Linked DNA regions of Cricetulus griseus. The protein of the gene in region 3 binds, or shares a complex with, the protein of the main gene of each other region. Links are inferred from orthologs where the notes say so. Each region holds a gene or a part of one and is shown on either strand. Other genes may lie near its edges. The genes, in order: Med16, Cdk8, Med12 and Med13l.

What was found.
Region 1: Med12 (region 3) and Med16 share a complex: the UniProt entries of both Homo sapiens proteins name them as parts of the mediator complex. The link is inferred for Cricetulus griseus from reciprocal best matches to the Homo sapiens genes MED12 and MED16.
Region 2: the proteins of Med12 (region 3) and Cdk8 are in contact, whole or in part, in a cryo-EM structure (PDB 8TQ2), measured with the Homo sapiens proteins. The link is inferred for Cricetulus griseus from reciprocal best matches to the Homo sapiens genes MED12 and CDK8. Residues at the interface, in NP_005111.2 of Homo sapiens: Pro26, Gln27, Gln31, Glu33, Asp34, Leu36, Asn40, Val41, Lys42, Gln43, Gly44, Phe45, Asn47; in NP_001251.1 of Homo sapiens: His143, Ala144, Trp146, Phe180, Asn181, Ser182, Pro183, Pro186, Ala208, Arg209, His210, Thr212, Lys213, Met273, Pro274, Pro320.
Region 4: Med12 (region 3) and Med13l share a complex: the UniProt entries of both Homo sapiens proteins name them as parts of the mediator complex. The link is inferred for Cricetulus griseus from reciprocal best matches to the Homo sapiens genes MED12 and MED13L.

Annotation. Positions count from the first base shown.
Region 1 is NC_048598.1:100,703,366-100,710,963, forward strand, and holds the start of Med16 (mediator of RNA polymerase II transcription subunit 16), read right to left. Parts: upstream 4,153-7,598; 5' UTR 4,080-4,152; coding exon 4,002-4,079; intron 3,770-4,001; exon of another isoform or gene 3,624-3,769; intron 3,287-3,623; coding exon 3,121-3,286; intron 2,819-3,120; coding exon 2,711-2,818; intron 2,544-2,710; coding exon 2,374-2,543; intron 249-2,373; coding exon 1-248. Other genes in the region: R3hdm4 (R3H domain-containing protein 4), read right to left, coding at 6,053-6,153, 6,976-7,031, 7,106-7,191, 7,445-7,530. UniProt on the Homo sapiens protein: Component of the Mediator complex, a coactivator involved in the regulated transcription of nearly all RNA polymerase II-dependent genes.
Region 2 is NC_048597.1:82,145,342-82,153,007, reverse strand, and holds the start of Cdk8 (cyclin-dependent kinase 8), read right to left. Parts: upstream 3,937-7,666; 5' UTR 3,791-3,936; coding exon 3,663-3,790; intron 1-3,662.
Region 3 is NC_048604.1:68,957,831-68,964,843, forward strand, and holds part of Med12 (mediator of RNA polymerase II transcription subunit 12), read right to left. Parts: intron 6,987-7,013; coding exon 6,825-6,986; intron 6,158-6,824; coding exon 6,046-6,157; intron 5,882-6,045; coding exon 5,792-5,881; intron 5,272-5,791; coding exon 5,162-5,271; intron 4,973-5,161; coding exon 4,837-4,972; intron 4,264-4,836; coding exon 4,102-4,263; intron 2,770-4,101; coding exon 2,392-2,769; intron 2,178-2,391; coding exon 2,027-2,177; intron 1,891-2,026; coding exon 1,685-1,890; intron 1,524-1,684; coding exon 1,446-1,523; intron 1,355-1,445; coding exon 1,137-1,354; intron 368-1,136; coding exon of another isoform or gene 364-367; exon of another isoform or gene 1-363. UniProt on the Homo sapiens protein: Component of the Mediator complex, a coactivator involved in the regulated transcription of nearly all RNA polymerase II-dependent genes.
Region 4 is NC_048597.1:98,632,159-98,639,171, forward strand, and holds part of Med13l (mediator of RNA polymerase II transcription subunit 13-like), read left to right. Parts: intron 1-841; coding exon 842-1,030; intron 1,031-1,538; coding exon 1,539-1,762; intron 1,763-1,872; coding exon 1,873-2,042; intron 2,043-4,221; coding exon 4,222-4,380; intron 4,381-5,252; coding exon of another isoform or gene 5,253-5,293; exon of another isoform or gene 5,294-5,294; coding exon of another isoform or gene 5,295-5,392; exon of another isoform or gene 5,393-5,411; coding exon 5,412-5,588; intron 5,589-6,508; coding exon 6,509-6,666; intron 6,667-7,013. UniProt on the Homo sapiens protein: Component of the Mediator complex, a coactivator involved in the regulated transcription of nearly all RNA polymerase II-dependent genes.

The DNA.
Region 1 (7,598 bases), on a different chromosome or scaffold from region 3:
TCTGCAGCAGCCACCACAATGTTCCCACCGCCTGTGAAGGCGATATCAGCAAGTGCCACTCGGCCTCGAAGCCGGCACAGGCTCTCAGTGGATGTCAGCACTTGCCCGCTCGGCTTCAGCAGGGACACAGTCACTAGGCCACTAACTGTCACCGCAATCCAGCCCTCCATGGGCTTGCCACCAAACAGCGTGAGTGAAGGAGAGAATTTCACACGGGAGAACTTCTCCCCAAAGCTGGAAGCACCCGACTGCAGGAAAGGGAAACAGAAGGAAGGGTTTGCTCAGCTCCTTGGGGTCCACCTTCTATGGCCCCACAAGCACCGAGCAACAATTCGGCAAGAGCACTGCATGAAGGAGGCCTCTCTAGCGCACAGTAATGCACAAGCCGTGTACTTCTCAGGGGGTTAAACTTGGTTCTTCACTTTCTGTTGTAACCTCTCTGAGTTTGAGGCCAGCCTGGTCTACAGAGTGATTTCCAGAACAGCCAGGGCTACAATGAGGAAGCCTGTCTCAAAAAACTGGAAAGTGTTTGAGTGGTTTCTCTGGAGGTATATATGTGCATCTCATGGGTGAGAAGTCTGTGGAGGTCAGAAGAAGGGGTTGGATCCCTTGAAGCTGGAGTTACACGTGGTTGTGAGCCAGCATATGAATGCTGGGATGTAACCCAGGTCCTCTGCAGAGGGCAGAGGCAGCCGGTGCTCTAACCACTGAGCAACCTCTCCAGGCCCTACATTAAATTTGGGAGGCAAAGTGTCACTGTTTAGTCCTGGTTAGACAGGGACTGGCTATGTAGACCAGGCTGACCTTAAGCTCAGAGCTATTTGCCTCCTCAGTGCCGGGATTGGTAAATGCCACCAGGTCCGGCCTTTTTTTTTTAACTATATAAAAATGTGTTACATTTGTTTATGCTGCATTTGTTTAACTATGTGAAGATGTGTTACATTTGTTTTGCATTGCCTGCCTAAGGCTGCTGATTTGTCGGAATAAGAAGCTGAAATAGTCAATTGCTAGACAGTAGAGGGCTAGGTGGGGCTGGTGGGCAGAGACAATAAGGAGGAAAAGGAAGAACAAGAGAGAACTCGGGAGAAAAGGAAGGAGACGATAAGCCGGGCTTTGGTGGCGCACACCTTTAATCCCGGCACTCAGGAGGCAGAGGCAGGTGGATCTCTGTGAGTTCGAGGCCAGAATGGTCTACAGAGCGAGTGCCAGGATAGGCTCCAAAGCTGCACAGAGAAACCCTGTCTCGAAAAACCAATAAATAAATAAATGAGAGAGAGAGAGAGAGAGAGAGAGAGAGAGAGAGAAAGAGAGAGAGAGAGAGAGAAAGATGCCTGGGGTTGGCCAGCCAGACACAGGAGAAGCAAGAAAAGTAGGACATACAGAATGAAAGAAATGTAAAAAGCCCTGAGGCAAAACACAGATGAAGAGAAACAGGTTAAAATAAGTTATAAGAGCTAGTGGGAGGGCTGGAGAGATGGCTCAGAGGTTAAGAGCACCAACTACTCTTCCAGAGGTCCTGAGTTCAATTCCCAGCAACCACATGGTGGCTCACAACCATCCCTTATGAGATCTGGTGCCCTCTTCCGGTGTGCAGATATACATGAAAGCAGAATGTTGTATGCATAATAAATAAATAAAAATCTTAAAAAAAAAAAAAAAGCTAGTGGGAGCCAGATGGTGGTGGTGGTGTGGTGCAGAGGCAGGCAGATCTCTGTGAGTTGGAGACCAGCCTGGTCTACAGAGCGAGTTCCAGGATAGGCTCCAAAGCCACAGAGAAACCCTGTCCAGAAAACAAACAAACAAAAAAAGCTAGTGGGACAAGCCTAAGCTAAGGCAGAGCATTCATAACTAATTGGTCTCCATGTCATGATGTGGGAGCTGGTGAGTGGCCACATGTAGGCGTGGTCTCAGCAGGTGTGTGGAAGCTGCTGGTCCCCAAGGACCTGGCCATGCCCCCTTCCTCAAAGGCATCTACCTCCGAGGAAACAGACATCTCAGATGTCTGTTGGTGCTCACTCCTCACTGGTTGAACTCCAGAATACACATGGATAGGGGAATTGTGGTCGTCATTAAATCACAGTAGAGTGGGGTCTGAAGACCACATAGCAGTCATCTGTAAAACAGGACACCATTGGATGCAGCTGCCTGTGGAACAGGGTCACTCTATAGGGACCATCATCCCATCACTGAAAGGGGAGGCTCAGGGGGACAATAGCTGTAGTTAAGCATGTTCTTGGGGACAGGAGCTCACGGATGGCAGTTACTGACAGGTATCCCACGCAAACAGGCCTGGCACATGACAGAGAATTCTGGCAGCGGCAAGGGAGAGACAGGTTGGTCACTCACAACTCCGCCACACGTAAGTCCCCTCACCTTCTCCACGTGCAGGGCCAGTTTCACGCCGTTGTGCAGCCAGGACAGCGCCACGATGGAGTCCCCCTCCACCTGGCTTCCCACTGAGCTCTCCCAGCTGTTGGCCAAGTGGTCAGCCATGCTCCAACATTTGATATGCCCGTCAGCATCGGCTGACAGGAGCCGTGAGCCTGTGGTGACAGAGTGCCATCAGGAACCCTCCTGAGGGGCAGGTTGACTGCCACCCCCTGCCCCCACACTCTGGACTCCCAGTGACTCTGGATTTAGGACTGAGAACTGAAGAAGGCAGCCCATGCTGCTCAGGGCTCTGGAATGAGAGTGAACTTCGTGGCATCACCTGACTGGTCCCATTCCAGGCAGGTGATGGCCTCGCTGTGGCCAGAGTTGACAGAGTGCACTTCCCAGGGATGTTCGGTGTCTAGGATATGGATCATATGTGTCAGGTCTGCGATGGAAGGAGAACAGGTGAGGTCGGTGTGGCTCACAGTGTCCCAGGATTCCCACGCCCATTTCCCCTCTCCCTGAGTGCCCCTCCATGCCACTTATCCCCCGGGGAGGGTTATCCAGTGCAGCCATAACCAACATTAGAGTCGGAGGACAGTGACTGGTATATGACTGCTTTCCCTGGCAACAGGGAGCCTGGCTCTGCCACCATGAGCCTTTCAAACCGGGACACACTGTGTCTGGAAATCTGAGGTAGGGTGGATCCAAACCCGGCACAGTCCACCTCTATGGACCGACACTCACCCTGGTCATCATTTCGGAGGTCCGTGGTGAAGGCGATGAGGTTCCTGCAGGACCAGGCGCAGGCCAGGGGCAGCGACGGGCAGTACGTGTTCTTGGCCCAGTTCTCCCACTCGCACACGTAGACCAGTTCCATTATGCCCACAGCACCCAGCACAGTCCCTGGCTCCTGCGGAACAGCGAGGTCCTGGCTAAAGTGGCTCTAGAGAGTTCTCCAGCCCTTGGAGCCTAAAGCACCCTCCATACCACCTAATCACCCACCCAGACCTCAGCCTAAGCTCAGCCTCCAAGCACTAAGCACCCTCCACAAACAGGCCGCACCCACTCCAAGTTCAGTCCCACGCCCCGCCCCCAAAGCTTCGCCCAAGACCTAAATCCTGAGACTTAACACACATACCCATGTGCCTCAACCAGGCCCCACCACGGGCTTTAAGCTCCACACACACCTTCTAAGGCCCTAGGCTCCGCCCCCAAGCCAACTACCAGCTTCAGGCCCCTCTTCTTACGGGTTATCAGGCCAAGGACCCCTTCTCCATCAGTCCCAGATCCTCAGGCCACGCCCCACTCTTTCAGACTCTGCTCCCTAGGCCACGCCCCTCTCTAGCAGCTTCATTTCCTCAGGCTCCGCCTCTCAGCTCAACTTTTGCCTCAGGCCACGCCCCCTCAGACAGTCCCATCCTCAGGCCACGCCCCCTCCCCGGCCTAGTCGCCTCAGGCTTCTCCTCAAGCACCGGTCCTGACCACGCCCCTTCCACCCAGTCCGCTACCCAGGAAGCTTTGCTCCCCGGCCCGCCCTCTGACCCCGCAAGTTCCGCCCCTCGGCCTTCCGCTCGTGGTCCTCGCCCGGATTGTGCCGGTCACGCGTTCCGCATCCTGGCACTGACCTGTCCGCTCCGAGCGCCCAGTCGGCCGGGCTGCCGCGATCCACATTCGCCCCAACGCCCGGGATCCGGGGCCGCCATCTCTCCGCTCGTGCCGGCCCCTCGCACAGACTTCTGGGAGAACCCAGGCTCCACCCTCTACTCGGCTAATTTGCATACAATAATTCCTAGTAACCATTGCAGCTGTATGTACGAAAAAAGACAAGTAATCTGTCATTTCTGATCACTAGCTATATCTTACATTATAGGTTTGGTCTTCTGTAAAAGACAGGAGAGAAGTACTAAAACTTTCGTAAGGAAACTGTACTCACCCTAACGATAAAGGGCTTGAATTTAGAGCCTATAAATACTGCCTGGACAAAGCAGCTGTTTGTGCTCGCTTCGGCAGCACATATACTAAAATTGGAACGATACAGAGAAGATTAGCATGGCCCCTGCGCAAGGATGACACGCAAATTCGTGAAGCGTTCCATATTTTGCCCACCCTCAGAAACACCAAAGCATACTCCTACATCTCTCTTCTGAAATTAGTTTATGTATAGCTTATCTTCCGCATATTCACTGATGGCGAAATTAGTCCCCACGTAAGTGACTTAACTAAATTTTCCCCTTTGCTTTTTGAGACACGGGCTATGTAGTTCAGGTTGGCCTCACACTGTTGAGGTTAAGATTCTTCTTTCAGCCTCCAGAACAGCTGTGCACCATCAAGTCATGAGTTCAGCTGTTATTTATTGTTATTTAAATTTGGGATTTTTGTTTTTACTTTTGTGTGACAGGATCTGACACTGTGAGTTTGAGGCTAGCCTGGGCTACATGAGACGCAGAGGTCTGTTGTTGGACCTTTAGTGCCAGCACTCGGGAGGGTGAAGCAGGCAGATCTCTTGAGTTTGAGGCCAGCCTGGTCTATAGAGAAGGTTCCAGAACTGCCAGAGCTACACAGAGAAACCCTGTCCCAAAAGACATGTAGCCCAAGTTAGACTCAAACTCAGGGTATATGGTGCTGGGAATGGAATTGAGCATGCTACGAAATCAGTCACTCTACCCACTGAGCCACAGCCTGGCATCCCACCTTTAAGTATTTTACACATTTTAAAATGAACTAAAGAATCAAGACTGCACTTTGCCCTGTGTGTCCAGATTTCCGGCCCCCAGCCCTCGGTGACCTGTTACTTCCCCACCAAACCCCAAGACACAAACAGTCAAGGCCTGAGCACCAAGGCTTTATTAAAAGTGTCCCTTTCCCCCAAGCACAAAGAACCACACAAAAGGGGAGGAGGCGGGCCCATGGAGCCTCTGCAGTGACCACAGCTATGCTGGGTGGCAGAGGGGACAGGGAGGAGGACAACACACAAGGTCAGAGGCTTCTGGCTGGAAGTCCTGGACCCAGGTATAAGTGTTAACAGGAGGAGGATCTGAAGGGCAGGCAGAGCCCAGGGAGTCGGGGACACGAAACACACATCACAAAAAAGCATAAAATCAGCCCTTGAGATGAAGCTTGTCCAGGTTCACCAGGCCCATGGCATGTACACACACACACACACACACACACACACACACACACACAAGACAAAGTGCCCTGGGGAGATCAGCTGAGTCCTAGAGAGGACCAGACACCTCCATCAGAGCTGAAACCTGGAGGGGTCAGGCAGGGGTCACAACAGAACCCACTACCAGCTGGCACTAGGTGTTTTAGTTGTGCCTCAACGCTTCAGAGGAGAAATTAAAGCAAACCTATCCCAAACATGCCAAAACTGATGGGGGGGTGGAGTGCAGGGGTAAAAGAGTCTGGTCACTTTGCCTGAGCTTCAGACTTCAGCCAAAGAAAAGCTAAACAGAGAATAAGCATGAAAAAGCGTAGCTCAGGTCTCCCCACCCAAACACAAGTACCAGAGCAGGGGGCTACGAGGCTGCCCTGTGCAAGCTGGGCCATGAAGGGGTAGGGGCAAGGGGGACTCCCGAAGAGAAGTGGGGGTGTTCTGATTCTGAAAGTATGCAAGAAATTAGCAGACATTGGAGGTCTCGGCAGGGCGAGTCAGCAGGTAGGGGCTCCACCATCATTGCTGATCCAGGTAGGCAGACAATAGTAGCTCTGGAGGCAGGAAGTCCAGGTGACGGTTGCTGACCTTCATCTGCCTCCGGCCCTCCAGGTCAGCACCTGTGGACAAACAATGTGAGGAGGACTGCAGGAGCTGGGCCAGAGGGCTCCCCTAGCGCAGGTGAAGCCATGCAGGCAGGAGGTTCAGGACCGCATGCACAGAAACCTGTGCATATGGCTATTCATGGGATGCACTGGAGGCTAGCCTAGGCTATACCCAAGCACCCAAGACCAACAAAAGAAACTGGGTGGTTGGAGGGGTGTGAGGCTAGCTGTGACTCCCCTGTCCAGGGGCACCCGCTCCGTCCAGTCCTACAGTCCCTACAGAGAAGCTTGCCCCACACTAAGCCCTCTCCATTCTCAAGTCCCTGAGAAGAGCCAGGTGTGGAGGCCGCTTCATTCTACCACAGAGGGAAACCAGAGGAACCAATTCCCCGGGCTGCCATGGAAACTGTCACCACAGCAACTCCAAGCAGGAGGCAGAGACAGGTAGAAAGAAAGGGAAGGACCAGATGGGGTACCTGGAGCTACCAAGGTTGCTGACAACCATCCCTGGAAGGAGGCAGCATTGCATACACAAGAAAATGGAAGACAAAGGCCTGTGGATTTGGGAACCTGTTGTCTCCTCTCCAGGTCTGGGATAGACCCTCAACTGCAGGCCTTACCAGCCTCACCTTGGTTCCTCTTCCCTGGAGCTGTGGATGGAGGGTATCTGCCCACTGGACACCAGAGCACACTCTTCATGAGTTAAATAACTACCAGAGCCCCACAGCCATGGCTCTGCTATGAACCCACACAACACATCCGTTTCTGGGGCTGGGCCCCATGGCCCCCGATTCCTCAGGAGGAATGGGTGAAGGGGCAGTGGGAGCAGGCACTCACTGGCTGAAATGAGATCCATGTACTGGCAGACGGCGTGAAGCAGCAGCCTCTCAAAGCTGTAGAGGAAGGGACATGAGCCACTGAGCCAGAGTGGGGAAGGAGAGCACCCTCCTCTCCCCAGCTCCTGTACCTGTTGTCCAGCATGGCGGTGTACACAGCCTGGGGAGACACGGAGAAGAACGCCAGCAGACGCTCCTCCCAACTCTCCAGGGTTTCCTGTGGGAGTGGGAAGAGCTGAGGGGGGTCACAAAATCCACAGGACGTGCCCTAGCTGTCTTCAAGGGTGTCAGGCACTTAAGCATCACAGATCTGGCCCTGTCTTTTGTCTGTCAAATTCTGCAGTACCCACTTGCACTGAGCCAATCCTCCTCCTCCTAACCACACCACCAGGATGGCTCCTGCCACCTCTTCACCAAGTCAGAATGGTGACATGGAAAGGCCAGGTTGAGAGGAAGATGGGGCCACTCACCATCGGGATGCGGCTGCGCTTGAGCACGGACCGCAGGCGACGGCTGATACGCCTGAAGCACTCATGAGGTGTAAAAGCTGGGTCCTCTGTGGGGGGGGGGGGTAAGGAGAGCTCAGGCCCTGTCTCCCAGGCTGACCTCACCCTGGGAGGCCCC
Region 2 (7,666 bases), on a different chromosome or scaffold from region 3:
CAGAGCGAGTGCCAGGATAGGCTCCAAAGCTACACAGCTGTCCTGTCTCGAAAAACAAAAAACAAAACAAACAAACAAAAAAGAATTAAACCTGGAAAATGACTCAAAACAGGAGCTAAAAATGTACTAATCGATGCCATGTGGGTAAGACATGCACCATAAATATTACTCTTGTCCCTTCCCATCACTCTTTTTTTTCTTTCTTTTTAACCCCCTCTCCAAGATAGAAACTCTGTGTAGCTTTGGAGGCTGTCCAAGAACTTGCTCTGTAGAACAGGCTAGCATGGAACTCACAGAGATCTGCCTGCTTCTGTGTATGCCACCATTGCCTGGCTCCCATCACTCCCCCCCCTCCACAGGGTTTCTCTGTGGCTTTGGAGGCTGTCCTGGAACTAGCTCTTGTAGACCAGGCTGGTCTCGAACTCACAGAGATCCGCTTGTCTCTGCCTCCCAGTGCTGGGATTAAAGGCATGTGCCACCACTGCCCAGCCCCATCACTTTTTTTTAAAAGGTTGTAAGGAACACTCATTAATGCACATCCAAACTATCCAAAGACTCAAAACTACAATAAACATTGAATCTAGAGTCCCTTGTGCTGACTCCCCAACAACAGACAACCATGGGAGCAGGTACTAACTAACCCAACACCAAGGTGACAAAACGAATGTTGGGTAGCTTTTGCATCTTTGGGAGTTGCCCAATTTCTCAGGATGCAGAAAAATTCAGAGGTTAAGGTTACTTGTTGCTCTTGCAGAGGACCTGGGTTTGACCCCCAGCACACACATAATGATTCACAACCATCCATGACTTCAATCAATCATATATGTGGTGCTCATTCATATACACAAAATAAAATTAAAAAGCACAAGAGGCTGAAGTAGGAGGACTGCTTAAGTTCAAGGCCAGTCCGAGCTACATACAGAGTGAGTTCCAGGTCATCTTGGGCCATATCAACTAGCAGATTCAATTGTATCTAAGGTATCAGTGGCAGACAGGGATGCTGTCCGGAGTCTTCAAGCTAATTATATGAAATAAAGTGGTTAAGGGCATGGGCTCCATTTTAGCCCATGCCTTTAGTCCCAGGACTCAGGAGACACAGGCAGGCAGGAACTCTGTGAGTTCCAAGCCAGCTTGGTCTACAAACCAAGTTCCAGAGCTGTTACACAGAGAAATCCTTTTTTTTTTGGGGGGGGAGGGGGCAGACATGGGATGTGCTCCAGAGTATATACACCGCAAGGACATTCTCAGGTCCTAACTGACATTGCTACTCACAGGACAAATCTGCTTAACTTTCAACGGCTTAGTTTCCTCATATATGAACTGAGGATAATAGGATTGATTGGTTTTTTTTTTTTTTGGGGGGGGGTGTCTCGAGACAGGGTTTCTCTGTGTAGCTTTGTAGACCAGGCCAGCCTCAACTCAGAGATCCACCTGCCTCTGCCTCCTGAGTGCTGGGATTAAAGGCATGCACCACCACGGCCCAGCTCAGATTAAGAATACTTTTGTGAGACCAAGTACCATGGTGTCTCAAGTGCCACCACAAGAAGCAGAGGCAAATGGATCTCTGATTTCAAGGTTAGCCTGGTCAGTGGTCTACAATCACAGCTGTTTTAATTCTAAAACTCCCATGGCATTTGATTCACTACAAAAATTACCAAAGTCCATCACAATAAACAGAATCATTCAAGGCTGCTGGAAAACAAACCCAAAACATAAAAGCTTAAAAAAAAAACCAAATGCAAATATTCAATTGCAATTACCATAAGTGATTAAGAAATACACACTAACACCAGCTATTTTTTGTTGTTGTTGTTTTTGAGACAGGATTTCTCTGTGGCTTTGGAGGCTGTCCTGGAACTAGCGACCAGGACATAGATCTCTCATAGAGATCTGAGTGCCTCTGTCTCCTGAGTGCTTAACATCAGCTATTTTTAAGATATGTAATTTCTTCTGAAATTAATCTTAACATCCTAGATGAAAACTTACCATCAAGATGTAAAAGATAAAGTAACCCCTGCATATACATCATATACTTAAAAAACCCACAATCAAACACATCTGGATATTTTATTAGCCTAACTTGGCAATGTATGAAGCCAGAATTGGCTCCTTTCACAGGGCCACAAAAATCACTAGCATTCTTAAAAACACAACAGATTGGACAATGTACTACACCATATCAAATGTCTTGGGAGTGGAGATGTTATGACCATGTTTCAAACTATGTGATACTGAGGGATGGAAGATGCTTTAACCCTCTGTAGAAAACTTTGCTGCAAATTCAGATGATTTCTTTAAATATAATTCATTAATAAAATGTTGACAAAACAAATCTAGTCAGACAAGAATCAGCAGCAAGGGCTCTGGATGCCACTCACTGCTATCCATTTAAAGCCACACAGCACCCAGAACACCAAGTTTTCCACCACTACCTTCTGCCCATATCTTCGTGGTTTCATTTTTGCACAAAAGCACTGAAATACATTATAAGAAGGCTTAATAAGGAGAAGTGTTTAATAAACTGACACTTCCTTTTCCATTATCCAGACTACTAAAGTATTTATAAACAAGCTCCCTTGGAAAGAACTCCCCGCAACTTTAAGGTTTCACTTTGTAGTGCTAAAGCAGTTCTGAATATGCACGCCTGTGAATATGAAAAAAAAAAAAGTCTTCTAAATAGTAAAATAGCAACTAGTCAAACAAGGGATGCTCAAGGAAAGCTGTTTCCAATAAACCCCAAAGATTATATAATAAGCTATGACAATCTTTCCAATAATTTCCTAGTGTCAAAGGCAACAGAAATAATACCTATTTGTACAAGAGAAAACGGGAAATTAATAAAGATTTTCTCCCCAACTAACAATTACTTTCCCTTTTGTTAATACTACAATGCAGTCATCTACTGACAAAGGAAAAAATGAGAGCTTCTATTTACTGTTAAGAAGCAAAATTAAGAGCATTACCAGTCATAGGTTTATTTCTTGTTTCTAGGGGAGAATTTTTGAAGCAGGAAAGATTATTTAAAGTTCACTGGCAGCTGATAAATTCTGGTTAAAGAGCTTGCACAACATAGCCCCGATTATCTGTCACTTGCTTCCCCCCCCCATCCACTCTGCACCAAATCCCCATTGTTCTATATAAAACCTCACAGCTAATGATACCTGAATAGCAACTGCTACTTTACATTACAGATGATCCTCCATGGAACTCTCCAGTCCCACACTCACTCGCTGTCTTCTTTCCCCCATCAAATCCAAATTTGGTCAACTGTTCACAATTGATAAGAGAAAAAGATCTCGGCTTCTCTTCCAGACTGATAGACATCACTCCAGAGGCGGGTGAGTTAGTCCCCAAAAGGTTACCGTGATAAATCGACCAAAGAAAAACACATTCGAACTGGCATTTTATAACGATTAAAAAAACAACAACAAAAACAAAAACACTGTACTGAAATCCACAAAAAAAAAAAAAAAAAGGAACACTGCCCATGAGACAGACGGTCCTTCTCCCTCTTGCACGCAGGGTTTCTTGTGTATTTGGATTCCTGGGACACCACTTCCTCCCCAAAGCAGGCTGACCGGGACAGAGGCAGAAGTAGTGGCACCCTGGCTGGCCACCTGCCTCTCAGCCTCGGGGACTCCCGCAGCGACACCCACACTCACCCATCTTTCCTCTTCGCCTTGTAGACGTGCCCGTAAGTGCCTCGACCAACTTTGCAGCCCTCGTATTCAAACAGGTCCTCGACCCGCTCCCGTTCGCTGCTCAGCTTCACTTTAAAGTCATAGTCCATTGTCACAGCCTCCGAGGCCGGGGTGCTGGGGTGGGGGGCCGAGGGCCGCGGTGGAGACCGGGCCGCGCGGCAGCCGCAGCCCCCGAGCTACACCCGCCGGCCGCAGCACCAGCCCGCCTCACGCGGCGACGGCAGGAGGCCCCGCGCGGGCGCCGGGGACATCCAGGGGAGCGCCGGGCGGTCCCCGCGGGCGCGAGACAGCCGAGGGACGCGCTGGGGGCGGGGAGCAGCGTCCGCCCTTGTCCCGCGCTCCCGGGGCGCCGGCTCTCGCGCGCGGTTGGCCGCGCGTGCTGCTGCGGGCGCGGGGCGGCCACGGCTGGCTCTGCTCCTCGCCCACGCGCGTCCGAGCCTCACCTTCTCCCACACGCGCTCACGCACACTCAGGGTGCCATCAGCCCCGACAGACCAGCGACGCCACACAACAGCCGGTAGCTTCTCCGAGAGGAGGAGGAGGAGGAGGAGGAGGAGGAGGAGGAGAAGGGAGGGAGGGAGGGAGGGAGGGAAGGAGGGCGGGCGGGCACGGAACCCGGCAGACGCTGTCGTAAAAAAGGTCGCGAAGCCTCGCGCTGACTCCGCCCCATCTGCGAGTGGCTCAGGAGGTGGCAGCCACCCCTTCTGACGCCGGTACGCGAAAGGGCCTCGCTCGGCGGCAGTGCGGAGCTGCTGACAGACTCACCACCACGTGGACCAACCCAGTCGGTAGCCCGGCCAGAAACTACAAGGCTCAGAATGCCCGGGTGCCTGCTGTAGCCGCCTCTTCCTCGACGCCGCGAATTCAGAGCGATGCATGATGGTATTGGTAGTCCATCACGCAACGAATTTCGGTTGCATGGAGATTATTTTTCCCCCAAAGCGTTATCTCTGCAATCTAAATTAACCCATATAAGCTTAGCAAAAGACACTGTTTAGCGAGGGGGTTATTTTGTATTGGAGTCACTTCTGAACTTCAGGATTTAAACGGCATTATGGCTGCTTCCCCCCCCAAGCCTCCAGGTTTTAATACTACAAATAAACTACGTAATTGTATTCATGGCTTGTCTTCCTTCACCTGACTGTATATTTCATGAAGTTCTCGGGGTTTGTACTTGCTAGGCAAGCGTACCATTATACTTCCAGTCAGGTAAAGCTATTTTCACTGCACTGAAGATTGAACCCTAGTTTTCATTTAAGTCTGTTGACAAAAAACAAAAACAAAAAACAACCCAGTTATCACCTCGAAGACAATAAGAGTTTATTGTGGAGCCAAATATGAGTGGCGACGGCTTAGAAACATAAATTTAAGTTACCATAAATTCCAACTTGTTAACAGTTTAATGACAATTTTATACCAAGAGAACAAAACAGTGAAGGGGGCTGGGGGGTAATGGTAGATGACAAAAAGCTTGACACATGTTGTCGTTTGATTTCTGTTACTGCGATAAACACCCTGTCTGCACACAACTTGGGGAGAAAATGATTTATACCAACTTACAGGTTAGTCAATCATCAAGAAACTAAAGCACCTTTTTTGTTTGTTTGTTTTTAAGCCATACATGTATATGTATGCCTGTAATACTAATGCTAGGCAGGCAGAAAAGGCGGGATCTCTGTAGCAGGATGGCCAGCTAGTCTTAACTGAAATGGTGCGCTCAAGGTTCCATGACAGACATCAACCTCTAGCCTCCAGACATGTATGCTTACACCTGTACAAAGAACACGTATACACACATTGGTGGAAACATCCAGGACGTTGGTGATAGAAGGCAAGAATGCATCTGCTAATGGTCTTACACGTCCTCTAAAGGCTAATTCTTAGCTTTTGGATTGGTGGGAGTTAATGGTCTGCTTGTGTATCCTAGAAAGATTTAATCAAAACGAAGATGCAGATTGGGGGGGGCGGGGCTTCGGTTCACAGCTCCCCCTGTTGGCCAAGCATCACACCTTTGTGTTGTGGAAGCCTAATATGTTGCACACTGTGAGGAAGGTTTGTCTCTAGAATCTCATAAGGGTGAGGATGAATAGGCAAGAAAGGCAGGGTTCAGGAGAGACAAGTAGCTAGTAAAGACATTAAGGAAACAACAATAACAAAACCCACCTGGATAAAATCAAGTTACATCTATTAATTATAATTATCCAAATCTAATTTTCCCCTCCCACCTCCACATCTGACATATGTAAAACACAATAGGGATATTCCACCTACAATTGAAATAATCCAGAATGGGACCGGAGCCGTAGCTCAGTGGTTAGGAGCACTTACTGGTTTTACAGAGGACCCAGGTATAGTTCCCAGGACCCACATGGAGTATCATAACTGTTTGTACTCCAATTCTAGGGTTCCAGGACCCACTTCTGGAACTGACAAACATGGTGCACTTACATACATGCAGGCAAAACACTAATATATAAAATGAAAAACAAATATTTTTTAAAACAATAATTAAGAACGCAGTATAAGCTGGGCAGTGGTAGCACACACCTTTAGTCTCAGCACTTGGGAGGCAGAGGCAGGTTATCTTTGTGAGTTTGAGGCCAGCCTGGTCTATGGAGTGAGTTCCAGGACAGCTAGGGCTACTCAGAGCAACCCTGTCTCAAACAAACTAAACAAAATGCAATGTGACCCAAATATGTAAATACAACAGAGAGACAGAGGAAATCAGGTCTTTTTATTCAAACCAACCAAACCCTGTAATTTTAAACCAGTTGGTCATGTTTCCCTTGAGTCTATGTTGCTTTTTACTCTATGAAATATTTCATTGGATGTTTAGAAAATTTTAAAGTATTACCTTTTAATTTTAGTGGATTTTTAAAGTCAATTTTATTTTATAAATATAACCTCATAAAGAGTGATTAGTTTGCCAGGCAGTGGTGGCGTACGCCTTTGATCCCAGCACTTGGAGGCAGAGGCAGGTGGATCTTTGTGAGTTCAAGGCCAGGCTGGTCTATTGAGAGTCCAGGGCAGCCAGGGCTACACAGAGAAAACCTGCCTCAAAAAACCCAATAAATAAATAAATTTAGAGAGAAAAGGGTTAGTTCTAATTTAGGAGAGATTGGTCTTAATATCTAAGCTACTCTTTTATTTATGGGTAACAATTTGATATGCCCAGTTATCCAGTGTATTGGAGCAAACTTCAATTTTGTGAAGTAAGTGGAAAAATTACATTACAGATGAAATTGGGTAATAATATAATAGTAACTAAAATTCCCCTATGGAGGGATACTATTGCAGCCCAGATACAGCAAGGAGTCCCCCCAAACAATATGACAGACTTTGAAGGTCCTTGGTGGAGGGCCTCACTATCCCTGGGGAGGAGTGGGGGTGGGGGGAACATGGGAGGATGGGAGGGCGAGGGAATGGGGGGGATGGATATGTAAATATGAGTAATAATCAAAGAATTTAAATAAAAAATTAAGACAAAAAATCCAAAAAATAAATAAATAAAATAAAATTCCCTTTTAATAAAATTATATGGAAGTTGGGGAAGGTTGTTTATGTACAAAAATGAGGTCAGACTTCTGAGAACTCAGGATTCCAAGGATTTTGTAAGTATAAGGTACTTTTAATTTTTAAAATTTTATTTACATAATCAAACCTTACTTATTTTATAGTAAAAAGGGAGAAAGTTCAATAGGAGTCACATTGTAATATTGTATAATAATGTTTTTTTAAGATTTTATTTATTTAATATGTATACAACATTCTGCTTCATGTATATCTGCACACCAGAAGAGGGCACCAGATCTCATAACAGATGGTTGTGAGCCACCATGTGGTTGCTGGGAATTGAACTCAGGACCTCTGGAAGAGCAGTCAGTGCTCTTAACCTCTGAGCCATCTCTCCAGCCCATAACTTTTTTTTTTTTTAAGAGAGAGGATTTCTCTATTTAATAACGGCT
Region 3 (7,013 bases):
AGCCCCTGCTCCTTCCCTAGCTCAAGATTCACACTACATTTAAGATTTAAGATCTGCTCCTTTCTGTCTCTAGACACTCAATCCAGTCCCATGTTTTTGCTCATGCTGTTGTCTTTACCTGGAATGCCCTTCCTTTTCCCCTTCTCTACAAATCCCAATCATAGCTATCCTTAATGGTCAGCTTGAATCCGTGAATCTTTCCCTAGTGACTCTGATCTACATTGCCAGTAGCCCATCTTTTCTCAAGTCCCATTTTGTTTGTTGGCACCCAACTGAACACTTGATCATGTCTTTGTTCATACCATTCTCTAAACATTCTTCTGCATGGTATCTTCTTCTTCTTCTGTATAAGACCTCTACTTCTCAACTAGGGTAAAAAAATCTTTGTGGTGAGGAACCTTGTATGTTTTTTTTCACTCTTTCCTCACTCTAGTCCTAACATAACGTTGGCTACACAGCAGGCAATTAATCAGCCCACTCTAGAGTATTCTGAATCCTAAGTTGCAGAGCCTCATGACAGTTACCCAAGTCTTAACTAAGATTTGACTAGAATTAATTATGAAATTTATTTGTTACTCCATTCTAGAGTTCAAGTGCTTTTTCTTCCCTTGAGACAAGGGTCTCATGTAGCTCTGGTTGGCCTCAAACTCATTATGTAGCCAAGGATGATCTTGAACTTCTGATCTTTCTCTAGAGTGCTGGTATTGCAGGTGTGTAATAACATGCCAGGATTTATGTGTTGCTTGGGATTAAATTTGGGACTTCATGCATGCTAGGTAAGCATGCTATCAAGTAAACCATATCCTCAGCCCTAGAGTTGACTATTTAATACCAGATTTAGGACTTCTTATTCTTTACTATGTCTAAAAACCCTAGATCCCTTCTTATCAAAGTTAGCTGTATTTGTTTCTTCTCTCTGGTCCTCAAGAAGTACCAGGGTTGTAAATGTGAGACTATTGGTTTCCAGGGTCCGTTCCAACTCAGGTTGTTTGTGGTAATGGTGATGGGACAAAAGTAGTATTCCTGATGTCTCCCAAAGTTCAGGCTCATCTATTACCTCTAGTATGGGATTTCCCAAATCAGATGCTTGCTTATATCTCAGTGTCCCTTCCCAGTTCACCACTAACTTTGGATACCTTTGAGTGGAAGTCAGTCCATGCCCATACGTTGGGGCCTGCTGATGCACATAGCCACTGGGCCGCTGTTGCAGGTGGCGGGTAGGATCTACAAGAGTAGGATTGGTAGAAGGGTGGGTGCTCTGATAAGGTTGGCTGGAGTAGCTGGGGGGCACCATGGTACCTGCAGGGCCTGTGTGTTGCTGCAATCCCACATGTGATACATAAGAAGTATAGCCCTGGAGAGAAGGATGCGAGACAGAGCTGGGGCATGAGTGTGTAAAGCAGCTTGCTCCCCTCTCCCTTATGTTCATAGTCTTAGGCACTTACCTGGGAAGTCTGCAAACCATAGGAAGAACTAGGAGTCATCTGATGGACAGATGACTGTCCCAACATCCCCTGACTCTGCTAAAGGGAAAAAGGAGAAGTCAAATTCAGGAAATGCTTTCTGTCATGTCTCTTTTATACCTTCTACCCTGCATGTTCTTGTGAAGTTCCCAAGTATCTCCTCAGTCCTGTGACCCACCAAAATCCCTCTCCCTGACAGTCCTCCCTACTGCCCCTCTCACTATCTTTGCCTGGAGCTGTTGGCGAAGGCGCTGTCCCTGGGGCACTGTGGGTTGCTGCTGCCGGTACACAGAGGTCTTATAAGATGAGGGTTCAAGGCCCATGACAGTAGTCATAGTTGTGGGCAGCACACCAGGATAAGTTGGTCTAGTTGGCAGCTTCTGCATTGGTAATCGCACAGGGCGGTAGGGGTCCACACGAGGGCCACCTGGAAAGGAGAGCAAATTGACCTCTCTGAGATCCTCATCCCTTCAGCCTGTTAAAAAATACAGTTCCAGCCATCCACATCTCCCCTGGAGAGGGAGGAATGTTCAACTCCACCATTCGTAGTGACTAGCACTTACCAGCAGGTAGTGGTTGATTCTGGGTGTACAGGCCTAGGGAGTTCTGCCTATAGTTAAGGTGGGATATGGAACCAGGATTTGCATGGTGCAGAAGGTCTGGAGGTACTGTCACACCATAGGGGCCACTCCGACCTGGGCCCATGCCATAGTCCTGCATGGGTGCAGAGGACAAAGGTTACAGCAGTTGGGGGTCGGGAGGTAGGAGAAGGAGGGAGAAGGGTGTAAGCAGGAGTGGCACTGATACATTATTATCACGATTCTAATGGCACCCCTTCCCCATGTACCCCATACCTCCCTTAAACCAGGAACTTTAGCTCCCTACCACACAAAATTAGGAAGGGGGTAGGTAGGGATGGGGGACTAGCCTCCGACTTGGTGGCTGGCTGGCTGCGTTTTTTGCCCTTGGTGGACTTCTTCTTGCGCTCCTCAGTGCTGGGAGGAGCAGCCCCCTGTTTGTCAGTCTTGGGGGGCTCAGGAGCCTTTTTCTCAGGCTCTAGTAGGGCAGGGGCTGGTGGCTCCTCATCTTCTGGGGGCAGTGGTAGTGGTTCCAGGTAGTAGGCTCTGGGCCGAGGCCTCAGGTGTGTGTGGTAGAGAAGCAGCCGTTGCTGCTCCTCCCCTCGTGCCACTCGGCGGTCCACTCGGACTGTGCCAAACCAGGCCCAGGAGAGTGGTGCTGTTGATGGCTTCAAGCCCTCAAAAAGATCCCAGGGGGAGATCTTTTGTTTGGTGGAAACTTGTAGACCCTGCTCCAGAAAATGAGAAAACAATGAGCTGTTGAGCCTTGGAAACAGGAGGCAGGACTTGAGAACTTATAGAAAGAGTAAAATATCTGTTGACAAGTTTTCAAACAAGGAAAGACTTTTAAGTAGATCAGGGGACATGATGAGAAGAGGAAAGACAAACACTGACACAGACATATGCAGGAAAGACCATTTTTGCTGGCACAGAGTTGAATTGCAGGAGAAAGGCGTGAAGGGGAAAGGTAACGCCAGGACAGAAAGAGGTACTGAAGGAGCAGACAGGGAAACAGAGGTGCTGGGGAGGGGAGAGGCTGACAGAAAATGTGAGGGACACAAAGAAACCATTGGGGAGGGAGGAGCAGAAAGGGGAAAGGAGAGGAAGAGGGAAGAGGAGGAGAGGAGGGGAGGGGAGGGGAGAGGAGAGGAGGAGAAGAGGGAGAGTGAAGGGAAGGGAAGGGAAGGGAGGGGAGGGGGATAAGAGGGAGGTGGGGGAGAAGAGGGGGAGGAGGGGGAAGGGAGGGGAAGGAGAGGAGAGGCAAGGAAAAACTAAAGATGGCAGAGAAAGAGAAGAGAAAGACAGAGGAGTAGGGGTAGAGAAACAGGGAGGGCAGGAGGGAGAGAGAGACACACTGATGCAGAAAGGAATCAAGAGAGTGTATACACAAAGGGGTTTCACTTTGCATTTGAAACTCTGTATTCCCTTTTCTCCCTCTTCTATGCAGAGTAATACATTTAATCAAGAAAATACTGAAACTAAGGGCTGGAGAGATAGACCAATGGTTAAGAGCCCTTGCTGCTCTTGCATAGGACCTAGGTTTTTTTATTATTATTATTTTTCTGGAATCCACATCAGGCGGCTCACAATCACTTATAACTCCAGCTCTAGGGAATCCAACTTCTGACCTCCATGGGCATCTGTACACATAAGTGGCATACATATGCACATATAATGTTTTTAATCCAAATATTGAAGCCAACATGAAAAAAGGGAAGTAGAGTTGGGCAAGTAGAGAGACATGAGGAAAAGAGGCAGGGGTCAGCAGAGCGGTAAGAGGACAAGAAAAGAGGTGGGGCAGAGGGGAGGGAAAGTGGGAGAGGGTCAGGAAGAGATAGGTGGAGGTAGAGCAGTTTTCAAGAAAAGGGTGAGATTACAAAAGAAGGGGAGATAAAGTGCAAGGAAACCTAAGTGATTTGCTTAAAGCCCAGGTGGTCTGTAGGTTTTATTGAGGAGAGCCTAATGGGCTCCTGAACTCAGTGTGTTAGCTGGAATTGTGAGATCAGAAATGAAAATGGGGTGCTAGGGGGTAGAGGGCATGGCAAGACAACAGAACATGCCTCCTTCTTGAAGATGGAATCGAAGCCGGCAATCTTGTTGCCTTTGGTGTCGATAAGGGAGCCCTGTGGCTCACAGGTAATGACATCTCGGTTCTGCTTGGGTAGTGGCAACAGTTGATGAACCTTTTCCAGACTGTCAGACTGGCGCTCCCCCAAGTCCTTCTGCAGGAACAAGAAGATAGGCCATGAGTTCAAAGATACAGAACAAGAGAAGTAGGAAGTCTCAAGGGTAGCAGAGAACATAGTATGTATAAAGACACTAAGAGCTGGGCATGGTGGTGCACAGCTATAATCCCAGCACTTGGGAGGCTGAGGCAAGAGTATTTTCAGTTTGAGGGCCAGCCTCGGCTATATAAAGAGCCACCCATCTCAAAAACAACAACAACAACAAAAAAAAAACAAAGATAATCTCAGCACTCATGAGGCTGAGGCAGGAGGATTGCTATGGGTTCAAGTGCAGTATGGGCTATGTAGTGACATATCCCTTACAGGACAACCTGTGTTACCAAATGAGATCCTGTCTCAAACCAAACAAACAAAGAGTAAATTTTAAAAAAGGCATTTAGTAAATCTGCATTGCACAGACAAAAAAGAACAGACAGGAAATGGGGAGGAAGAGGGCTCAGACCAAAACCAGTCATCTCACTCCCCACTCCCAGCTCCCAGGCCACACAGTAAACACAGGCAGAGTTGAGTCTCCAGCACCCCAATCTTGTTCTTGACTCCCTTGCTCACCTGAAGCTTCTTCACCAAGTTCATATATGCACGTTTGTTTTCCTCCATGCTGCCCTGAGAGATACTAGACATGTCTGCAGCCAATGTTCCATTGATAAGCACACTCAGCATGTCCAACACAGTTGTGAAAAGCTCACTGTGGCAGGTATGGAGAAAACCAGAGAAGCAAGAGGTTAAGAAAAAACAGGCAGGAAGGGATACTCATGATGTTATCCTAAGGGGTGTGAGACTGTGTGGGGAACTCAGGGCATGGAGTCACTGGTTCCTGCAGCTGTTATGTGGTAGGGACTCCAGGAAAATGGCCTGCAGGGTTGAGAATGCTCACTTGTTAGACTGCATGTCCACAGTGCCGCTGATAATGATCTCCAGGAGAAGCTGGGCCCACTCTGTAGTCTGCTGGGTACTACGCTGCACTGTGTCAAACATGCCTCCCACCTGCCAGAACCACAAATCAGTTAGATGGTGCAAGGTGATAAGTGTTTGAGAAAAGCTTAGGTTCGAACCTGGTTGGGTGGGAGCAGAGACCCCTGAGGCCATGTCTCATCATTTGTACTTAGGATTTACTATTCAGTCTTGGGTCAGTGGCTGAATTTGATATATCAGGATCTGTTTCATTACTTATAAAGAGATGGGACTTGTACTAAACAAATTCCATAATTCCATTCACCATTCTAAAATAGGTTTCTAGTATTTCTAGGGCTCAGCCAGAATGTCCAATACTGAAGCAGCGTGCCTGAAGCACACAGGGTATTCAGTCTATTGGATCCTGGCTACAGGGGTTCAGTTCCTCTAACCATTTTAAAAGGTCCCGTATCCCTTGAGAAAGCAGGGTTAATATTGGAAGACCTCAAAGAACCTAGGGCCTCCATTCTCAATCCTGTCTTCCCCAACCTGGGGCTTCCTAACTGTATTTCCAGGCCCATCCCTTCTTCCTTCATGCCAGATTCCCCCTTACCAGGTTGAGCCGCAGTTTGAGTGCCTCATGCATTAGTTGCTTTGGTTTGCAATCATCTAAGTACTGGTTTTCTCGCCAATTGATCACAATCTAGGATAGAAACAAGTTTAACACGTGCTCAGGGATCTTCTCCTTTCTAGTCCAAGTCATCAAATGTTTTTATCAGAAAATAATGAAGGGTCCAAGCATGTAGTGGCCTCTTAGGTACATCCTTCCCCACCCTGAGGCCATCTCCATGGCCCAGACACCCATACCTGGTGCACCTGGCTGTGGAGAGAGGCGAGGAGTCCCTCGCGTTGCTCATCCTGCCCTTTCAGACATGTCAGCACCAGTGATAAGAAAGGCTGCTGGCTCAACAGGGACATGCTAAAGCCATGAGGAGGGGGAGGGCAGGTAGAGGAGACTTCAGGTCAAGCAACTTCCAACTTTCTTGTCCCAGATTCTACTCTTAAAACATTTTTTTTACATTTCATTTCTGTTTTCTATGTATTTGTTTTCTTTTGTGTGCAATCACGTGTGCATGCCATGCTGCACATTTGGAGGCCAGAGGAAAAACGTGCAGGAATTGGTTCTCATCTTCTACCATATGGTCCCTAGGTTGGATCAAACCCAAGGCTGGCAGCAAGCATTTTTTTTTTTTTTTACCCGTGGAAACACCTTGCTGAACCCTAGATTCTACCCCTAAGATGTGACTTCCTGCTTAGCCATGATATTCAGCTCTTGACTTGCCACTTTCTTTTCTATTCTTTCCTTCCTTCCTTTCTTTTTTTGGTTTTTTGGGACAGAGTTTCTCTGTATAACAGTTCTGGCTGTCCTCGAAGTCATTTTGTAGAGGAGGCTGGCCTCAAACTCAGATCTGCCTGCTTCTGCCTCCCAAGTGCTGGGATTAAAAACTTGTACTACCACATCCCACCCAACTGCTACTTTCTCATGAGGACTATTCTCTACCCTGAGTCCCAAAGTTTATTCTTCCCTGGGCCTGCCGCCTCCTCTCCTTTCTACTCTTCAGTCCTCACCCACAGAGCCCCTTTACCTCTTCTGTTTTTGTCGATCTCGTTCTTTTCGGGAAGAGGAACCCAGGTGCTGACCCTTCTCCAATTCCTCCCCAGCAGCTTTCAATACGTGGCCCTGGACTGAGGTGGGCAGTTTGGCAATGAGAGGAGCTACCAGCCATACGCCAGAACGTTCTAGAGAGCTAGAAGACAGAGGACATGGGCTTCAG
Region 4 (7,013 bases), on a different chromosome or scaffold from region 3:
CTTTCTTGTCTTGAGACGGGTCTCCTATGGCGCTGAGGCTAACCTCTGGCTTCCAGTGCCCCAGCCTCTCCAGTACTGAGACTGTGGGCCTGTGCCACATGGCTCAGCATATGTTACATGTTTGGCCATTCTCATGTCGGTCAGCATTTGGTGTGCACTCACTTTTTCCACTGGTGTAAGTGAAACTTATAAACATTCCAGTGCATTGTATTATATTCTAAGTCATGTTTAAAAGTGGATACTTAAATCTAGCCACTGATGAATGCCACTTTCCGAAAAGCTTGTTCTTGTTTCTCAGCAGTGGATGAGCATGCCTGTTTCCCTGCACCTTTGCTAGTTCCGAAATGAAGTGATTTTTAAGCGTTTTGTGCGATGGAAATGGTTCGTTATCATTTTATTGGAAGTTGTCTTGTAGAATGCAGGGACTGAAGTTAAAGTGAACAGAACAGATTGTTGATGGTTTGTCATTATCTCAAAGTCTGAGTCCCATGCGATTAGATACTACTGCAGCATGCTATGTCAGATATTCTACACATGGAGCTTACCTTAAGATGCAGGGTTAAAGGATGAGGGGGGTGGGATAGGAGGTTGAGGATTTATGCCCTCAGTGGAGTGGGACAGTTCTCAAGGAGACTGGCTTACTGATATTAGCCTTCTCAATTGGCTGATGGACATTTGAGGAACAGTGTTTATTTCACTGGGATGAATTAGGGTATAATTATATTTGACATCTGCATGTGGCAGAGTTAAGGGGGTCCCTCTAGCCATAAACCCACCACTTCTCATTTTGTAGCTGTCTGCTTTGTGGTGTTTTGAACTGACTGTTGCTTGCATCTTGTAGATTGTGCCTTGCCAGTACATGCTGCAGACAATGAAGGATGAACATGTTTTCTACATTCAATACTTGAAGTCCATGGCATTTTCAGTGTACTGCCAGTGCAGGCGCCCGTTGCCTACACAGATCCACATTAAGTCCCTCACGGGCTTTGGACCTGCAGCCAGCATTGAGATGACCCTCAAGAATCCGGAGGTGAGTTTTGGAGGCAGAGATCTCTGCAGAGAGCCATCTTCTGCTGTAATATGAACCGCAGCACCTCTCCTACCTCCCTGCCTAGAGCCATGACTCTGCATCTTGCCAATCCCTGAAGTTTGATGCCTGTGACTGCAGACCTTCCTGGGGCTGTGTATAATGGATCTTACTGTGGTTTCAGTTTCTGCTTTCCTAGTGCCTATTGACATTGGGCAAGCTTACTTTCTAATATAGTAGTTTCTTTTAATCAAACATTGGTGGCTTATAGCATTTACTAGATAGGTGTTTTAAACAGCTAAGCCACAGGGCCCCATAGTTGTTGAATTCTAACAACACTTTTGCTGTCTGTGTTGTCATTGCTAACTGTATATTTAGTCCTGGAGAGGGAATGGCGGGAGCCTCCTGTTGTCATTATTCCTTGTTTTCTTCCTCGTCGTTGCTCTGGGTTTTATTGTAAATGATGTCTTGATTGGCCTTGTGCTGATACTGAACTTGATTCTTATTTCAGCGGCCCAGCCCAATCCAGCTTTATTCCCCTCCCTTTATATTGGCCCCAATCAAAGACAAGCAGACAGAACCAGGAGAGACTTTTGGTGAGGCGAGCCAGAAATACAATGTACTCTTTGTGGGCTATTGTCTGTCTCATGACCAGCGCTGGCTTTTGGCATCCTGCACTGACCTCCATGGGGAATTACTGGAGACCTGTGTTGTAAACATTGCTTTACCAAGCAGGTGAGAACCCTTGCTGTTGTGTTCACTTCTGTTAACTCTGTGGGGATGGCATGGATGTGTGCTTTAGAAATGGACTGTGTGTCTTACCAAGTGACAGCTGATTCGTGTAGGACCCTTCCTGTTTCTGTCTCTGTCAGGTCACGGAAGAGTAAAGTGTCCGCGCGTAAGATTGGGCTGCAGAAGTTATGGGAATGGTGCCTGGGGATTGTCCAGATGACATCTCTGCCCTGGAGAGTCGTCATCGGCCGCTTGGGGCGTCTTGGCCATGGGGAGCTTAAAGGTGAGCAGTCCCTGAAGCAGGTGCAGGGACAGAGGTGACTGAACTGATGATGGCAGCTGAGCATGCAGGGCCTTAAAGTTGCCCCAAAGACCAACCTTGATGACAATGATTGTTTTATATAAAGGGAGAAACCAGGGTTTAAAAGCTTCTCTGTAGCCCCCATCACTTACACAATAATATTCAAAATGTAAAACAGGAAACATGTTTCATTAGTATGAAATGGTAGTTTAATTTCATAGTATTACATATTAAGACAGTAAACAGAGTAAGTCTATCAGAGTATAGGAGACTGTTAAAGTCATATGTAAGAATAGCCTTCAGGGCTGGAGAGATGGCTCAGTGTGTAAGATGCTTGCTGTAAGCGTGAGGGCCCAAGTTGGACCTCCAACAGATTCCTTATGTGTGGGTGCAGCTTCTGACATCACTAGGAGACAGTCTCACAGAAGACTCCCCAGGCCTCTGACTCATACAGTCACCCCTTTCCACAGTGTTCCCTGAGCCTTAGGTGCAGGAATTGTTTTGTAGATTAAAGTCTTACCAGTATGACTGCTTGGACATAGAATTAATTAAAGAAGAAGACATACATTGAAAAGTAGCCTGTGGTTAGTAGAGTGGGCAGTGTCCTTGTTAAGGGCCAAGAGTATAATTTCATTTTGCAAAGCAAGTGATCACTTTGAGGCTCTGCAGTTCTGCCAGTGTGAACAACCATAAGACAATACCTACATGAATGGCTGTCTGTGAACAGAATTCTATTTACAAAAACAGGTGGTAGGCAGGATTTGGCCCCAGACTGTACGTAGTTCACACCAGCTCCTGTGTTAGAGTGTGTGCACTATTTGACTACAGGAAGCGCAGCCAGGTACTGTGGAAATCCCTGGGATTAAATCTTTGAGAGAGACAGAGCCCATGTGCAAGCTGCTGCTATAAGAAGGCAGATCAGCACTCAAAGTTTCAGACTCACAGGCATGTGTGTACACACACTGCAGTGCGTGCCAGACCAGGGGTGGGGGAATTGGGGGAGCTGTCTTCTAGTCACACTTGATGTTGTGGACTGGGAGAAAATGGGGCCTTTTCATTTTTTAAACAGCACTTCTCTTAGAAGCAGTCTGCTATCAGTAGCCAGGAGGTTAATACACTAGGGGATTCCGCCCTTCATTTCTGTCAGATTGCCTCTCTTCCTCCCTGGTCTGCTTCATAGTCAATCTTCTTTCTTAAAGGCTTTCAGCTATTCATAACCCTTGGGAAGGGGAGGGAATAATAGAAAAGAAGCAGGGGGTGAACGTGTTGTCTGTTGCTTGGTGTTTCAGAAAATGATTCAGGCCCTTTCGGTGCATGACTGTGGGAAGGGGTGTACTCTCCTTCCTTGCCCCTTAAGGGGAGAGCCTGAGTATGGCTGGAGGAGCACATAGTCACTTCCCTGCTGACCTGGGCTCCTCCTTTGGGAGCCATGGTTTGAGTGAGGGCAAACAGAGGCCTCAGCTTCCAGGTAGCCTTGGTGTCTGCTGTTTAGCTGCCAGTCTTGTCAGAAAGAGGACTGTCTTCCTGATGCATTGTGACACTCAGGTCTGTCTGATATCCTGCCATTATAAGACATTTTCTTCATGTTCTCAGCCACTTTTCCCTCTCCCACTTCAGTGTGAATTTCATTAGAAATATAAAGCACACTGCCCTGCACTTCCCTGGGAGGGAGAATTGCATGACTTTAGAGATGCCTGCGTTGAGCATCAGGAACTCAGTGAGAGCACTGAGAGCAGAAGCTACATAGACCAGGACTCAGCAGTGCTTAGACACAGTGCCCTTCTGTTTAGGGGCAGTGAGCAAGTATCAGAGGGAAGTGCTGGTGGGGTAGTGAAAGAATCAGACCCTGAAAAAAGAATGGCTAGCACAGGCTAGCCCAGCCAGCAGAGACCTTAGCATTCAAGGCATTTTAGAACTTGAATCTTCCAGGGTCTGTTGCGGGCCCTCAAAGGACACTCTAGACAAGATGGCAGCCTATAAAGAGCAGGCCTTTGTTTCTGCATTAATACAGTGAAGTAGAAGCCAGGAAATAAAGGACTAAGTGGAAAGCCCCACTCCCTTTAGGACAGGGTCACACCAGTGACATTTCCAAGCAGAATTGACAAACATCTAAAATACCATATGAACCCCTAAAGACTGTGTCTGTGATCTCTGACTTCAGACTGGAGTATCCTCCTTGGAGAATGTTCGCTACAGACAATCAGCAAACAGCTCAAGGATGTGTGCCGGATGTGTGGGATCTCCGCTGCAGACTCTCCTTCTATCCTTAGTGCCTGTCTGGTTGCCATGGAGCCCCAGGGGTCCTTTGTAGTGATGCCAGGTAAATTGTCTCTTGTCAGTTAACATCAATTAGGTATTTTATCAGTCCAATGTAATGCATAAGTATTTCATCTCTAAGAGATGCTTGATTTAGACCTAGAAAATGGGACCATCTGATACCTTCCTAGGGAGGACTTAATTATTGTTGACCACAGCTTAAGTCTGGATATGAGTGAAAACAGGTAAATCCACAGCTAGTGAGTGTTGTCTAACCCTAGTCTCTTGGCATCCTAGGATTTTACCCTCCAAAAAGCTTCTAGACCCCAGTGTGGTTCCCAGTGCTGTAGCTGAGAATGAATAATAAAGAAAAGAGAAGAGCACTTAACACAAGGTTGGACATAGGTTAGCTCAGTGAGCTTTAGAAATGCAGCTGGCTTGTGGGGAGCAACAGCTATTTGCTGACTGCCCCTAAGCACTTCTACACGGTTAGGTCTGCTTTACACTTCAGATAACAGGAAGTCAGGAGAGTGACCGAGGATAGGCTTCAGTACAGGACAGTGGCTGGACCATGCTTCTTTTACTTCAGCTCACCTTGGTTGCCATCAGTAACTGGGAAAGTTTACATGACTTTTAGATGTTTCTGCCCTCATTTATGAAGTAGAGACAATTGCTGTGACCTCAGGGTGGGTGTGCTGAGCAGTGAGACATGTGAATGGAGCTTAGGACAGACCAGTATGTGATAAGTTTTGAGTATAGGGTTAGTTAGAGTGTTAACTGCTGTCACGTACAACGGTGCTTTTATAAATTGTGAGTTCAAAGTTGGAAACAATGCTGAGAGGTCAGTATTAGGGTTTTAGTTTACATCTTAGATAAGTAATCTACAAAATATTTGGTGGACTGCATCAGGTTTAACTTCACATTTCTGGTGTGAAGGTCAGGCCATCATCACTGGTGTTCTCCATCGGGTTCTTTAAGGACACTTAAGGAACTGGGGCAGCCTTGAATGCCTGTCCCTGAGACTTTGTATCAGGGGAGAGCCTCCTTCTGGGGATGTGGTATGCAGGGCACACTGACACACCCTGCTCTTGAAAGATGCCGTCACAATGGGCTCCGTGTTTGGCCGAAGCACTGCGCTGAATATGCAGTCGTCTCAGCTGAACACACCTCAGGATGCTTCCTGCACCCACATCTTGGTGTTCCCGACATCATCAACCATCCAAGTGGCTCCAGCCAACTACCCCAATGAAGATGGCTTTAGTCCCAACAATGGTGAGTGGAAGGCACAGTAGTAGGTAGAAAGTGTGGGGTGGTGGATGCTGCAGGCTGTTGGATGTTGTAGAGGTGTCCTAGAAACCACAGAGAGGAGATGCAGAGTCTCAGGACCACCTGGGTGAACTGCTCTCTGTCTGCTTGAGTGTGGAGGGCATGGCCGTGTGAAGATGCAACCTTCCTAGCTCACTGTAGAGATGCAGTTTACCGGAGACTAGCTCCGTATCTGATCATTCTTAATGGAATTCTGTTGGAATACCTTTATGGGATTGAAAGATGATCATATTTTTGTAAAATGCTCATTTTTTGTGATGTTCTTGGATTTTAATTACCTACCAGTATTCATGTTTAATAGGGAGGGGAAAAGATACTAAAATGTGACTATGTCAGCTTCACTGAAGTCTCAATTCTGTGGGAATGGAAGGGCTCATGACAAGTGTCCATGGCATCTAGGTATTTGGTGATAGTTTACCTCCACTTTTCTCTTCCAAATTTCCCATGAGTGCACCCTGGTTTTGAAGTGTGAGAGGGAGAGCATCCCCCAAGGAACAGTGCTTTGATCTGCTTTGGAATGGGCTCCTCCCATGTCAGGACTGGCTCCTACCTGTTTAGCTGGAGTCTGCTTGTTGCTGGATAGTGCCCACATTGACCTTGCAACATTCGAGCTGCCCCTTGAACTGTCTTTCATCTTTTTATTTGTGTTTAGAGCTCTAAGGAGTTGGGGGCTTTCTCCATTGTATTTTTATTTAGTTAGCAGGTCACTGGAGAGAAAACGAAAGGACAGCTTGTAGCACTTGTATGCAATAAATGCCTGTTAGGTATCTACACCGTCCCTGTAGCAGGTGAAGATTAGCAGAGCATGATATACTAAAGTGGAATATGGTTACTTCTTAATTTTCCTGTGTTTTTCTCCCCTCTAGATGATATGTTTGTAGACCTTCCATTCCCAGACGATATGGACAATGACATTGGCATCTTAATGACTGGGAACCTCCATTCCTCTCCCAACTCCTCCCCGGTTCCGTCCCCAGGCTCTCCCTCTGGAATCGGTGTGGGCTCTCACTTCCAGCACAGTCGGGTAAGGACTATAGGAAGGAGGTTGTTGAGAACCACCCCAAACCTCAGGAAAGTCATCACCACCAACCGCCATGCTTTGACTACACACACCTCTCTCCCCAGAGGTTGAGATCTCTGTGGGCCACTGCCTTCTAGCCCATTTTGGAAAGCAGGGGTTTGGAAAGCAACATTCTGACATTCCTAGTACACCTCTTCATTAGAAAGTTAGTCTTCTGGTGTGCTAGACTCTCAGTGGTGCTCCTGCCTGCAGCTTTGCTTGGTTTTGGACGGCAGGGGAGGTTGGAGGGCTGAGAAACTGCAGGTGCATGCTGTCCATCCCAGCCTCCCCAAGAAAGGTTTGATAATTTT